Cricetulus griseus: one gene and its partners. The protein of the gene in region 1 interacts with the protein of each later gene in a biochemical or structural test. Links are inferred from orthologs where the notes say so. Each region holds a gene or a part of one and is shown in the gene's direction. Other genes may lie near its edges.

The links.
Region 2: the proteins of Peli1 (region 1) and Ube2v1 form a complex in vitro, tested with the Homo sapiens proteins (3 studies listed by BioGRID). The link is inferred for Cricetulus griseus from reciprocal best matches to the Homo sapiens genes PELI1 and UBE2V1.
Region 3: of the proteins of Peli1 (region 1) and Irak4, one has a biochemical effect on the other in vitro, tested with the Homo sapiens proteins (4 studies listed by BioGRID and IntAct). The link is inferred for Cricetulus griseus from reciprocal best matches to the Homo sapiens genes PELI1 and IRAK4.

What each region holds. Positions count from the first base shown.
Region 1 is NW_023276807.1:85,433,185-85,437,539, reverse strand, and holds the start of Peli1 (E3 ubiquitin-protein ligase pellino homolog 1), read left to right. Parts: upstream 1-1,452; 5' UTR 1,453-1,828; intron 1,829-1,935; exon of another isoform or gene 1,936-4,355. UniProt on the Homo sapiens protein: E3 ubiquitin ligase catalyzing the covalent attachment of ubiquitin moieties onto substrate proteins. Involved in the TLR and IL-1 signaling pathways via interaction with the complex containing IRAK kinases and TRAF6.
Region 2 is NC_048599.1:11,805,038-11,809,258, forward strand, and holds the end of Ube2v1 (ubiquitin-conjugating enzyme E2 variant 1), read left to right. Parts: intron 1-556; coding exon 557-682; intron 683-1,997; coding exon 1,998-2,144; 3' UTR 2,145-3,691; downstream 3,692-4,221. UniProt on the Homo sapiens protein: Has no ubiquitin ligase activity on its own. The UBE2V1-UBE2N heterodimer catalyzes the synthesis of non-canonical poly-ubiquitin chains that are linked through Lys-63.
Region 3 is NC_048595.1:391,037,306-391,040,923, forward strand, and holds part of Irak4 (interleukin-1 receptor-associated kinase 4), read left to right. Parts: intron 1-1,358; coding exon 1,359-1,504; intron 1,505-3,207; coding exon 3,208-3,399; intron 3,400-3,618.

The sequences.
Region 1 (4,355 bases):
GACAGCATAGCTCACACTGAGTCCATTATCTCTCTTCCTTGGCAGAGTAAGGACTTTGAATACAAAGTATGCTTCTTTTATATTTTTATAGCTCTATTTTTGAGGATAAATGAAGTGCCTGGCACATAGTATATATGTTCACTTGTTTTTTAAATATTTTATTATATACATTATATATTTTAAAATATTTTGAATATAGGTGTTTTGCCTGCATATATGTCTATGTGCTGATGATGCCAGGAGATGGCACTGGATTCCCTAGAGCTGAAGTTACAGATGGTTGTGAGTCACCAAGTGTGTGCTGGGAATTGAACCCAGCTCCTTTGGAAGAGTAGCTAGTGCTCTTCACTGCTGAGCCATTCTCCAGGCCCTGTGCACTTGTTTCTTGAATGAGCAAAAATTATGTGGTCTGTGGGCATCACAGCTTTCTGATCTTGAGACCATTTGAAAAACTCGAGTTTCTCTTCTTAAAATATATGCCTGATTCTTGGCCGTTAACCTTTTCCCTCCAGATTGTAGGGCTCTAGGTAGTCTATTGAGAGAAATTGAGGCAGGTGACCTCTAAGTCTTCTGGAGAGCCAGACATTGTCCTGGATGTCTCCACACTTGTCACCACCACCACATATACATACCTGGGTAACTAGAATGGGTGTAGACTTAGCTGAGTAGCCCAACAACATACCCAAACCATGGTTCAGGGTTCTCATTACTAAATGAAAATCAGCTAATATGTACACTGAACAGCTTTGAACTGTCTACTTATCTTCTGAACTTATATTTTGGAATTTGGATGTCTGAAGAATAACAGATTTTTAAGATGTGCAAATTGCATTACAGTGATCAAACGGTGTTATTAGTGCTGAACTTTACCTTTGCCTGTACTAAAGTTAGATGTTACTAACTGTGCAAAGAAATTATGGGATTTTGTTAATGGTCATGCTCCTAACAGTTTTATAACTTAATTGTTAAAATGCTAAGAACAACTAGATTTAGTGTCTTGGATAATTCACTTGAAGGAGGCAAAGGAAAGGGATATTTATGATTTGTAGAAGAAATTTGAGCAGCCAGGGAGACTGCCATGTTGGGAGGAAGTGAGATTTCACTGGGCACTTGAAAGTGGTAAGGCTAGTTGTTGGGGGTGGGGTGAAGCAGAAGAGACTGGCTATGGGCCGGAACCCAAAGGCACCAAAGACAAGACCAGCCTTGTTTAGTCAACTACAGTACTGAACCTTCAGGTTTAGTGAATCAGTGACCATGGCAACAGTTCCCGCCCCCAATCGCTCTGCGCTACGCAGGCGCAGAGCGACCAGTAGGCGCCTCCACAATAGATGCTTTTTCTCTCAAAGAACTACAGTTCCCGAGAGCCCCCTCGACACCGCCTTCTGATGTGGCCCTGCCCCGTCCCCTTAGGCCCCGCCCTCCCGCTAGTCTCCTCCCCTCCCTCCCAGTGTGTGTCAGTGACCCAAAGGCGGTTCGAGGCGGAGGGACCATCGGGGGCGCCGCCGCCGCCTCCTCTCCAGCGCCAGCACCAGCAACAGCAACAGCAGCAGGAGCAGCGGCTGCAGCGGCCGTTCGGCGCCACCGGATTTGCCTGCAGCCGGGGGAGGCTCACCACAAAGCGGGCCCGCGCCTCTCTCCGCTCCGCGCTCCTCGGCGCACGGCTCCGCGTTCCATTCGGCCTCGCGGGGCTCGGCGGCTGGCGGGAAGGCGGCGGGCTCCGCGGGTGCCTGCGTTCCACCGGTGCTCTCGCTGCCCCCGCGCCCCGGGTGTCCGCGCTCCGGGCCCTCGCGGCGGCCGAGCTGGCGTTCCGGACTCCAGCAGTCGTCCGGTGAGTGCGGCTCCGGGAAGGGGGCGCGGGGGCCGGCGGCGCGGAACTTCCTCCGAGGCTGTGCCGGTGGCGGCGCGGCTATGCGCGCGCCCGCCTGCTCTCGGGGAGGCGGCGGGGAGCGGAGTTTGCGGCGCCGCATCCCGCGCTGTGGGAGGAAGCTTCTTTGTGAGGAGCTGCCCGGAACGCCCTCCCCCACGGCTGGAGCGGGCGCGCGGCGGCTGCGAGCCCCGGCCCGGCTGGCTGCCCGGTTCTCGGTCCCGCGGCCGGGTTGCAGGCAGGCCAAGTGGAAGGGGAACAAAGGGGCGGTGGGCTTTTCTTTTGTTTGTGTGACTCTGGTAACTTCTCTGCTTCCTTACATAACGCAGACTTCCAAGTTAGTCATTCTTTTTATTGTTATGATTATTGTCATCATCTCTGCGTGCCTCTCACATTTCCTTTCATCTTCGGATCTCAGAGCATTTTAAAAATACTAATTAATTTCACCTCCCGGGCCCTTGCCAAGCCCGTTTCCGTAAGTGGGTAAACTGAGGTCCAGAAAGCCCTCAAATTGATGGATACGCTTGATGTACCGCCCCTGGTGTCTGAGGCTCGGAAAGCGTTTATGAGTAATAACTCATTCTCCAAATGCCCTGTGGAAAAGTTAAAGATGCTCATTTTACTTACAGGCTAAACGAAGTCTGAAAGAAGCCTGGGTAATTGTTAGGTAGTTGAGACAATAATTCTTTTAAAATAGTGTTTGAATCTTAAAACCTCAAAGGACTTTCTGGAAAATGTTCCGAGTGGTGAAGATAGTGTAAGTCATAAACTCACTTCGCCATCTATTATGTTTATATGTGCAAGTCTCTTAACGAAGTCAGACAGCAATGATGAGGGGAGGGGTAGTTTCTAGTTAACCTACATTTAAGATGTTTAGTCACTAAACAACGATTTGCTCTCGTGGTTTGAGCCCCGGCACATCCCATCAACAAATGTTACTGAGCATCTCATCCATAGGACGCTCAATTATACCCAGACTTGAAGCTTTTGTGTATCAATAAGTTGTCTGTTTTGGTTCAGAGGCCCTTTAACTTTCTCTTACTCAGTGGAATGTGACTTTGTCTTCGGAGCGGGTGATCTTTTGTGCCAGACAAGACAATGTCTTTTCTCCACATGGACGAGTTTGCCTAGTAGTGTGAATTTAAAGTTTTTGAATTATAGAAAGGGTGCAGTTCCTCAAATTCTTCGGTTTCGGTTTATGATACGCTTTTGCAGATAACCGAAAATATTTTCTCAGAATACTCAGATACGCATGCTTGACACCTCCTGAATGTCTGAATACAGCATATCAATTATTTTTTGCTTGCTTGTTTTCTTTTCACATCTGTAGTAAATTCTTAGAGGGCAATTAATCCCAGTACTTTTTAAAATTTTTGGTACCAAATAGAAGGTTTGAAAAGTTTAAATCAAGTGTTACTTCTACAAGTTCTTTTCCTAAGATGTATGAGATTCAGAACTGTAATGATTCAGAACTGTAATAGGAATATTTTTACTTAAATCATTTAATTTTGTAATGTATAGCTGCCCCCGGATTTTACATCTGGTGGGTGTGTCAGAAAATGAAAGTGAGACTTTATTTTCTTCCCTGTTCTGCAACGTATCCCTTTTCTGAAGTTTGTTGACAGGTCATAGGTTTAATGCTTTGAAAATGGTATGGTTAAGTGTGTGGAAGAGTGTATGTTATGTGCCTCACCTAATAAATTTCAGTCTTTTAAAGAGGAAACTTAGCACTCAGATTTTTAGTGTAATGAAAGTGTAGCTCTGTTTCTTGACTGGAAAACAGTAAACTGGAAATCTGCCTTAGTTGCATATTGGGTTATTTATGTGCATCTTAAAATTGGCATTTAAGTACCCTCATGTTGGACTTTTTTCCATGCTACTTACCAACCAGATTTACCAGGGCCATTTGTACTTGTAGGAAACTATTAACAGTGCCTTTGCTCAGTCCAATTCCAGTAGTCCAGAGGAGGAAGTGAGTTTCAGCTTTGCCTGTTTCCTGAGCTCTTTGGGACCCTTTAAAACAAATGGCTGAGAAATAGGGCAGGAAATGGTGCTACTGAGGCAAGTTTCAGGGGGAAGCCTGGAATGTTTCCATTTACCTTAGTTCCGGCTTCCTTTCCCTTTCAGAATGTCAGTTGTATTTTGAGTCCCTTGATTTAGAATGTGCTCCATCATGGTTGGACAGTGAATGGGTGTAAGGGCTAGAGTTCTGCTTTGTGAACAGTTTTTCAGATAGAAGCTTCTGTAGGTGATAGATGTTTTAAGTCAACACTTAGAATTGGAAACTGGCCAGCATGTGAGCATCTATATACATTTTCCCATGGAACAATAATATAGGCCTATCACTTAGTCAGACTTGCAGAGGTCACACACACACACACACAACCACACACACACACACAAAAAAAAAAATGCGCAATATATGATGGCCATTGAGGTGGCTTGGGGATTTATTTTGGAAAAAAATGTTCTATTCCAGTTACTAATTTTA
Region 2 (4,221 bases), on another chromosome or scaffold:
CATTGGGCTTGCCTGTGTTTCATGGTTGTATGATTGGCTTTTATCTGGATGGGTAGAGAGTACTCTTTTCCCTTCTTTCACCCTGACAGGCTTGCATGACGGGCACCTTTACCCAGTGCACCATCTCCACAGCCCTCAACAGATAGGCTTCAAGGTCACTATGTAGTTACAGATCACCTTGCACTCTTGGGGCTACAGGTGTGCACCACCGGGCCCAGCCACCGGTGGTTTTTCAGGGTTGATGCTATGGCTGGAGGTCTGGCGTATCAGCTGCGTGGCCTCCTTCGCTCACTTGATGCTGGTGGCTTCTAAGGGCAGGTGGCACACGACAGAAGTGGCTTGGGTCGGACTTGTTGACACTTTTAACCAAGCATCCCTAGCTTCTTTGTCCTGTCTTTTGCTTATTTCTCCAAGACCAGGGCCCTCGGAGGGCCTGTGCTCTTCCCCCCTGTCCACACAGGCGTATCACACTGTGGTCCCAGGGCAACAGTGTCTCGGCACTTGTACTTCTCTTAGCTCTTTGTAACTGACATATCTGTACCTTTTTTTTTTCCAGACAATTTATGAAAACCGAATATACAGCCTTAAAATAGAATGTGGGCCTAAATACCCAGAAGCACCCCCATCTGTAAGATTTGTAACAAAAGTCAATATGAGCGGCGTGAGTAGTTCAAATGGAGTGGTAAGTCCCGTCCTGCCCAAGATGCCCTGCTGAATTTGGGAGTGTGGCGGTGGCCCGAGATACGCTGCTGGCTTATCCTCTACAGGTTATCACAGTGTGTCTGTAGCATTGGGGCAGGGCTACTTGCATTGTGTCTTGTCGCTCCTCTGAGCTCACTCTGGGAGCCCTGTACTGTCACTGAGATAAGAGTGTTAAGTGCTTGTGACATCGTGAGGTGGAGCTTCAGGGACATGGCCCTCCCCACATCCTCACATGTGCCGTGACCGCTGCCATGTGACACCTTTAATGCTATTTGTTTCTTTGTTTATTTGCTTTATGAGCATGAGTTTTGCCTACATGTATGTCGTTGTGAGCTGCCATGTGGGTGCTGGGAATTGAACCCCTATCGTCTGGAAGAGCAGCCAGTGCTCTCAACTGCTGAGCCATCTCTCCAGCCCATTTGCTTATTTTTTTGAGAGAACCCTGTTCTGTGGCCATGTCTGGCCTTGGAACTCCCTATGTAGCCCAGGCTGGCCTCTACCCATGGCAGCCCTCCCGTCAGCCTCCTCAGTGACTCACTGGGACCTTACTTTTTAAACACATTTTGACAACAGACTCTCTAATCCAAAGCGCTCCCAAGTCTCAGACTGCCGACCAGGACACTGAAGCACTTGAGGGTGGAGCTCACCATGCGGAAGTTGCCCAGCTGCTCAGGTCTGCACAGCTTCCAAAATCTGAAACCCTTGTGGTCCTGAGCACTGTGGCAGCCCTGTCCCACTGTCCGACCCACACACATTTTCTGCTTCCTTGATGGAACTGCCAGGCCTTTCCCTGAGAAGTCGCTGCTGCAGCACTGTTGTAGACTAGAGCTCAAGGCCTCATACAGGCTAGGCAGATCTGCCATGGAGCCATACCCCAGCCATAGATCCTGAATCCGAAGGTTGCTTGCCGGATTCTTGGGGCACCGTACCCAACCTCTGTCTTTGAAGTCTTCAGAAGATGGGCCAGAGAAATAGAAATGAACTGTGTCAGAGCCATCAACTCCTTGATAACCCAAGAGACCAGGGCGCCATGGCTGCTCTTGCTGCCACTCCCATCTTTATCAGCTCCACCCTGGGTGTATAGTGGAAAAAGACAGGACGTGGTCGCCCAGGTGCTGGTCCATCAGGATGGTCCGAGTTTGGCCAGGTTAGGTCTCCCCATGTGTTGGTTCTTCCATGCTGGCAGGGAGGGTGGCTTGGCATGGCCTCTGTGTTGATGGGGCTCTGTGGGCTGAGCATGTCAGCGTTGGGGAAGGCTTTGCTATGGGGTAATCTGGGTGTTTGCCTCTTTGCAGGTGGATCCCAGGGCCACGGCGGTGCTGGCAAAGTGGCAGAATTCCCACAGCATCAAAGTCATCCTGCAGGAGCTTCGGCGCTTGATGATGGCCAAAGAGAACATGAAGCTGCCACAGCCGCCAGAAGGACAGTGTTACAGCAATTAGTCACCAAGGCCCCGGCCTCCCCTCCCCAATCCAACCTAAGTCTTCATTTTCCACAGTAGTGAATTTTCTAGATTCATCTTGTAGACCTCAAAGTACTGGAGAGGAGGCTCCACTCGGACTTCATCCTGAGACACTGTTCTGATACTAATTTCTTGTCCATTTGAAATACCTAAGTTGTGCTGTGTAACATCTGTCGAGTGTAACCGCTGGCTGCTTAGTTGAACTTCTGGGATCAAGAAGGTGTGTTGAAATCAGTTTCCTTTGGGAGCGGTGGGCACAGCTAATGCAACTGTGAACAGACACATTGTCACACAATCACTTGCTGCTCACACATGGCCTGGGTCTGCCTTTGCCCGCCCCGCCCTCCTGCCACAGCTGTGTGGTGGCCCTTAGAATAGATGGGAAGGCTTCAGGTAGCAGCCGTGGGACTACTGCTGGGCTTGGGGGTGCTTTGGCTTCACCCCTGATTTCTTAAGTCTTAAGTGATGCCCCATCCAAGCCATTGCCGCCCCCCCCACTCCTGCCCTTGGCCAAAGCTTAGATTGTAACCCTCCCCTCCCTCTGAAATTGGCCGTGGGTGAGGATTTCAGGGCTTCCCGTCTCCCCACCTTTATCAAGGGGTGCTGCTCTCCCCCTCCTTCTCAATTCCCTCGTTGCCCACACCACCCCACACTTGCTGTGGCCAGAGTCGTGAGATGAGGTTGGAAGAGCCTGGTCTTCTCACTTAGCTCTTGGCCACACGCTCACTTGCCACCAGCCTGGGAAGGGGGTTCCGGGTCCTCGGCCCTGCTGCCACCATCAGCCGATGCACTTTGAGCTCAGGTCTCGAGGTGAACAGAGCAGTCAGTCAAGGGACCACAAACCTGCCAGCGCTCAGGGTCCTTGGTGGCTGCGCCTAGAGAAAGGCCATGCGGAGAGTCCTCAGCGCACAGGGTACTGAGTCGGTTCCTTTTCTCATAATCGCTTTGCTTTTACACACTGAAGTGGTTTGGACAGGACTCCGTGTCCACCCATCAGGTCTGACGTGGAACCTGACAGCTGGAACAGAGGCCCTAACCCTGCGGACTCAGGTTTCAGTCTTGCTGCTCCTCAGACCCTCGGCAGGGACCTGGAGGAGCTCTGTGTCATGAGTTTTCAGATGGGTGGGCCTGGCCTCCTGCCTCATTGCCACGTTCCCCACTCTGTTCAGGACCACTAATTGTTGAAATGTGGATGCATACTGAAATAAAGGCAATTTGTTGTGTTGCAAGGGTTTTGGGGTTTGGGTTTTTTTGTTTTTTGGGGTTTTGTTTTTGTTTTTTTGTTGTTTTTTTTTTTTTTTTTTTTTTTTTGAGAGGGGAGGTCATTAAGCATATGTGAACCCACCTGTTGAAGTAGCAAAACTATCAGGTCTAAAAAGTGGCCGATGTGGCCATTGATCTTTGTGGGGCATACTGTGGTTGTCTGGGCTAGGCATCGTGTAAGTCAAGTTTAACAGTGTCCTTCCATAAGCAGTGTGCTGTCAGTCATCGCCTGATTTTACTATAATAAACAAGTGTGCACTGATACAGAGCCGGCTGTGCCCTTTTTCCGCCAGGCTTATTCCGCAAGAGGGTCAAATGCCTTAGATGCTCTGAGACTGCATCTTGTCCAAAAGCAGGGCTTGACCCTTCTGTGAGAACATTCAGGGTGTTCCAGCCAAGGCCAGGCTCTTCATCACTGTGCTTGAAGTAGGAAAAGGGACAGGTCCCCAATACTTGGTGAGGTGCAAAGCCAGGCAGAGGAACATGTTGCCTGCTGGTGCCCATCAGCATTCCCTGCCAGGCGCACAGGGGCGTCTGTAGGTGAGGTTTGCCCTTCATATGAGAGACTGGTCAGAAGCAAGCAGTGGCCTGGGTTGGCCTGTGCACCAGTTTGTTGTCCTGTCTCAAAAGATACGGGGTTTTGTTTGTTTGTTTTTGAGACAGGTTCTCTATCATGTAGCTCTGGCTGCCTCCAAACCCACCCTGTAGACCAGGCCAGGTTTGAGCTCTCAAATATGCCTGCCTCTGCCTCAAGTGCTGGGATTAAAGGCATGTGCTCCACTACCAGCAAAAAG
Region 3 (3,618 bases), on another chromosome or scaffold:
AAACCAACTGTTGCTAGTGACAGGGTCTTGCATAGCCAAGGCTACCAGCTGACCAATTGGTAAATCTAGATGGAGGGCAAGTTGTTGCTCACTGTGTTATTCTTTCAAAGTTTTTGTTAAGTTTGAAATTTTTCCAAATATAACCCTGGGAGGAAAAATCAGAATAAGCTGTTTGTGTTAAGTTTACAGTGTTACTTTCTAATTTTTAATTTTAAAGAAATGAGATGAAAAATAAAGATGTTTTCCGTTCTATTTAATTAAATAAAGTTGAGATCAAAGTGTAGGCACATTCTGCTTCATGAGGCAGGCTTGTTCATTTTAAAGTCTACAGCTAGAAGACTGACTAAGTCATGTAAAGTGCATGTAAGACACTGCAATATAGCTAAGTGGTTTAAAAGTGTATGCTTTGTTCGAGAGAGTTCAGAATTTGGATCTAAACCTGGGTAACATTTTGAGTGTGCTGTGTGGCTCACAACTGGCTACTCCACCCATCCCAGTCTAGCACTCTCATGGTAACATTCTCAGCTGTCTCTCTAGCGATATCCTGTAGCTCTCTGAGGTGGGTTTGACTTGTATATGTGTTTGTGTGTTTGTGTTAACTGTGCGTGTATGATAAGTGTCCATGTTTGTGGCGGTCAGAGGTCAGCATGGGGTGCCTTGCTCACTCTCGATCCATCTTGTTTTTTGAGACACGGTATCTCACAGAGACTGGAACTTACAAATTCATCTAGACTAACTAACCAGTGGGCATCAGGAATACAGCCATCACTGCCTGTGCAGCCCAATATTAGAGAAGGCGCTCTGCACTGGCTGTTCTTCGCCTGGATGCTGGGGAATCTGAACTCGGGTCCTTAGCCTTCATACTGGCAACGACAAGCACTTTACCAACTGGGATATCTCCCCACCCCAAAAGTTAGCTTACAATTTTTTAGCTCTTTATTTTATTCCATGTGTATGCATTGCTTTGTCTACATGTATGTATTTGCACCACATGCATACCCATACCTGTGGAGGGCAGAAGATGGTTTTATATCCCCTGGAACTGGAAATGCAGGTAGTTGGGAGCTGCCCTGAGGATGCCCTGGGAAGCAAACCCTGGTCCTCTGTAAGGGCAACAGTTTTCTCAACCACTGAGCATCCCTCCAGCCTCAGTTGTTAACCTGAATTCTCTGGCTCCTTTTCTGCTGAGTGTCATTCTCCTAGATGGGGTACTTCTGGTTCTCTCATACTCCGGTTCCTTTACTGTCTTCCGGAGGGTCAGTGATCCGGACAGGAGGGGACTCGGGAGTGGTGACAAGATCAGTGTCTATCTTCAGATGAACTCTCATTGTGTACTAGTTTTGTCTTTTGTTTTTCAGGAGATTTGAAGCCTTACTCCAAACTGGGAAAAGCCCCACGTGTGAGCTGCTGTTCGACTGGGGCACCACAAACTGCACAGTTGGTGACCTTGTGGATCTTCTGATCCAGATTGAGCTTTTCGCCCCTGCTACTCTCCTGCTGCCAGGTAAACTGGGTGTGGCCAGAGTGCCAGCCACTGTCTGAAGTGATGAATGGCAGGAATCGAAGTTTTATTTCTCTGTTTACTCTTCTATGGAATGAACACACCTGACACTTGGGTCCCCTTCATTCTTTGAGCTCTCCCTTAGCCTTTAACCACTCTAGATGCTCTGGACTGTGCTGCTAAAGTGATGAAGTCTAAACCTCACAAAACCGGATCGTTTTGTGCCAGGAGGGTTTATTTAAAGGATGAAGAATGCATCCTACAAGAATTTATTCTTTTGAGCCATGTCTCTCTAGACCCCCATTCGGCTTCACCTTGACTGGACTTTCATCAGGGCTTCCTTGCATTGCATTCCCCTGTGTTACTGTTGCTCTGCCCTTGTCTTTGCCCCACTCCTTTTCTCCCTTGGATGCACTCGGGGATCTTGACCTTTACTGTGTAAAGAATCTCTTAGAGTTCTTGTTGAACATGTAGATTCCTGGACTCCATGCCACACCTTCTTTGGGTGGTGTTTTATTTGGTTGGTTGGTTGGTTGGTTTGGGTTTGGGTTTTTTGAGACATGGTTTCTCTGTGTAGCGCTGGCTGTCCTGGAATGCATTTTGTAGACCAGGCTGTCCTCGAACTCACAGAGATCTGCCTGCCTCTCCCTCTCAAGGGCTGGGACCACCACCCAGCACCACATCTTAATAGGACCCATAGCACTGAGTTCAATGACTAATGTTTTTGGTCCTTTCCTCCCCACCCACTGCCATTTGTGTGTGTGTATGTGTGTTTGTGTATGTGTAGTTGTTTATCAGACAGAATCTCAGGTAGCCCAAACTGACCTTGAATTTACTATGTAGTCAAGGCCAAAGTTGAACTTGATTCTCTTGCCTCCACCTTCAACGGGATTACAGGTGGGCACCACCATGCCCACTAGTTCTCTATTCTTAAATAAGTATAGTATTTCCTAATGACTCTGAACCACTTTTTTTTTTTTTTTTTTTTTTTTTGGTTTTTCAAGACAGGGTTTCTCTTTGGAGCCTATCCTGGCACTCGCTCTGGAGACCAGGCTGGCCTCAAACTCACAGAGATCCGCCTGCCTCTGCCTCCCGAGTGCTGGGATTAAAGGTGTGCACCACCAAAGCCCAGCTCTGAACTACTTTTGTGAACACTATCACTCTGTCTAGTCATCTTTATCACAAGGCACAGCATTGTACTGGGAATCTTCCTGTGTTTGGTGAGGATGTAGGGCCAGCATCTAGGAGCTGTACATGTTCTGGGTTGTCTTAGTTAGGGATTCTGTTGCTATGAAGAGACACCATGACCACAGCAACTCTTATAAAGAAAAACATTAGGTTTACATTAGGTTTAGTCCGTTATTTTCATGGTGGGAAGCATGGCAGCACAGGAGGCAGACATGGTGCTGGAGAGGTAGTTGCAAGTTCTACAGACTGATTGTCAGGCAGGAGGGGAGAGAGAGAGAGAGAGAGAGAGAGAGAGAGAGAGAGAGAGAGAGAGAGAGAGAGAGAGAGAGAGAGAGCAAGAGCTCCTGAGCCTGGGCCTGGCTTAAGCATCTGAGGCCTTAAGACCCACTCCCAGTGACATGCTTCCTCCAACAAGGCCACACCTCCTAATAGTTCCTGATGGTACTATGGGGTTCGTTTTCATTGAAACCACCACAGACTTTTTCTTACACAGAGACTAATTTTGTCTTCTTGTTCAGCAGATGCTGTTCCCAAAACTGTCAGCAGTATACCTTCTAGAGAAGCTGCAACGGTGGCACAGACACCTGGGCCCTGCCATGAAAAAGTCAGGACATTGGTAACGCCTATGCCAAGGGTAGAACAAAGCTATAGGCCACCTGACTCCTCAAGCCCAAACAATGAAAACTTAGAAATCAGTGATACTGATACTCGTAAGTAGCATTGCCTGTGCTTTCTTTCCCACTGGTGGATTTGCCATTATGGTGATTTAAAGAAAACCTCTCCCCATTTGTCCTGTGGTCAGAGGCACATTAACGGTATCCTTAGACGTGTGTTTTCCTTTGTATTTATTAAGTACCATCGTCGTCGTCGTCATTAGTCAGTTACTATTCTTTCGGTAACTTGAAGCAATGTACCATGCAAACAGTCAC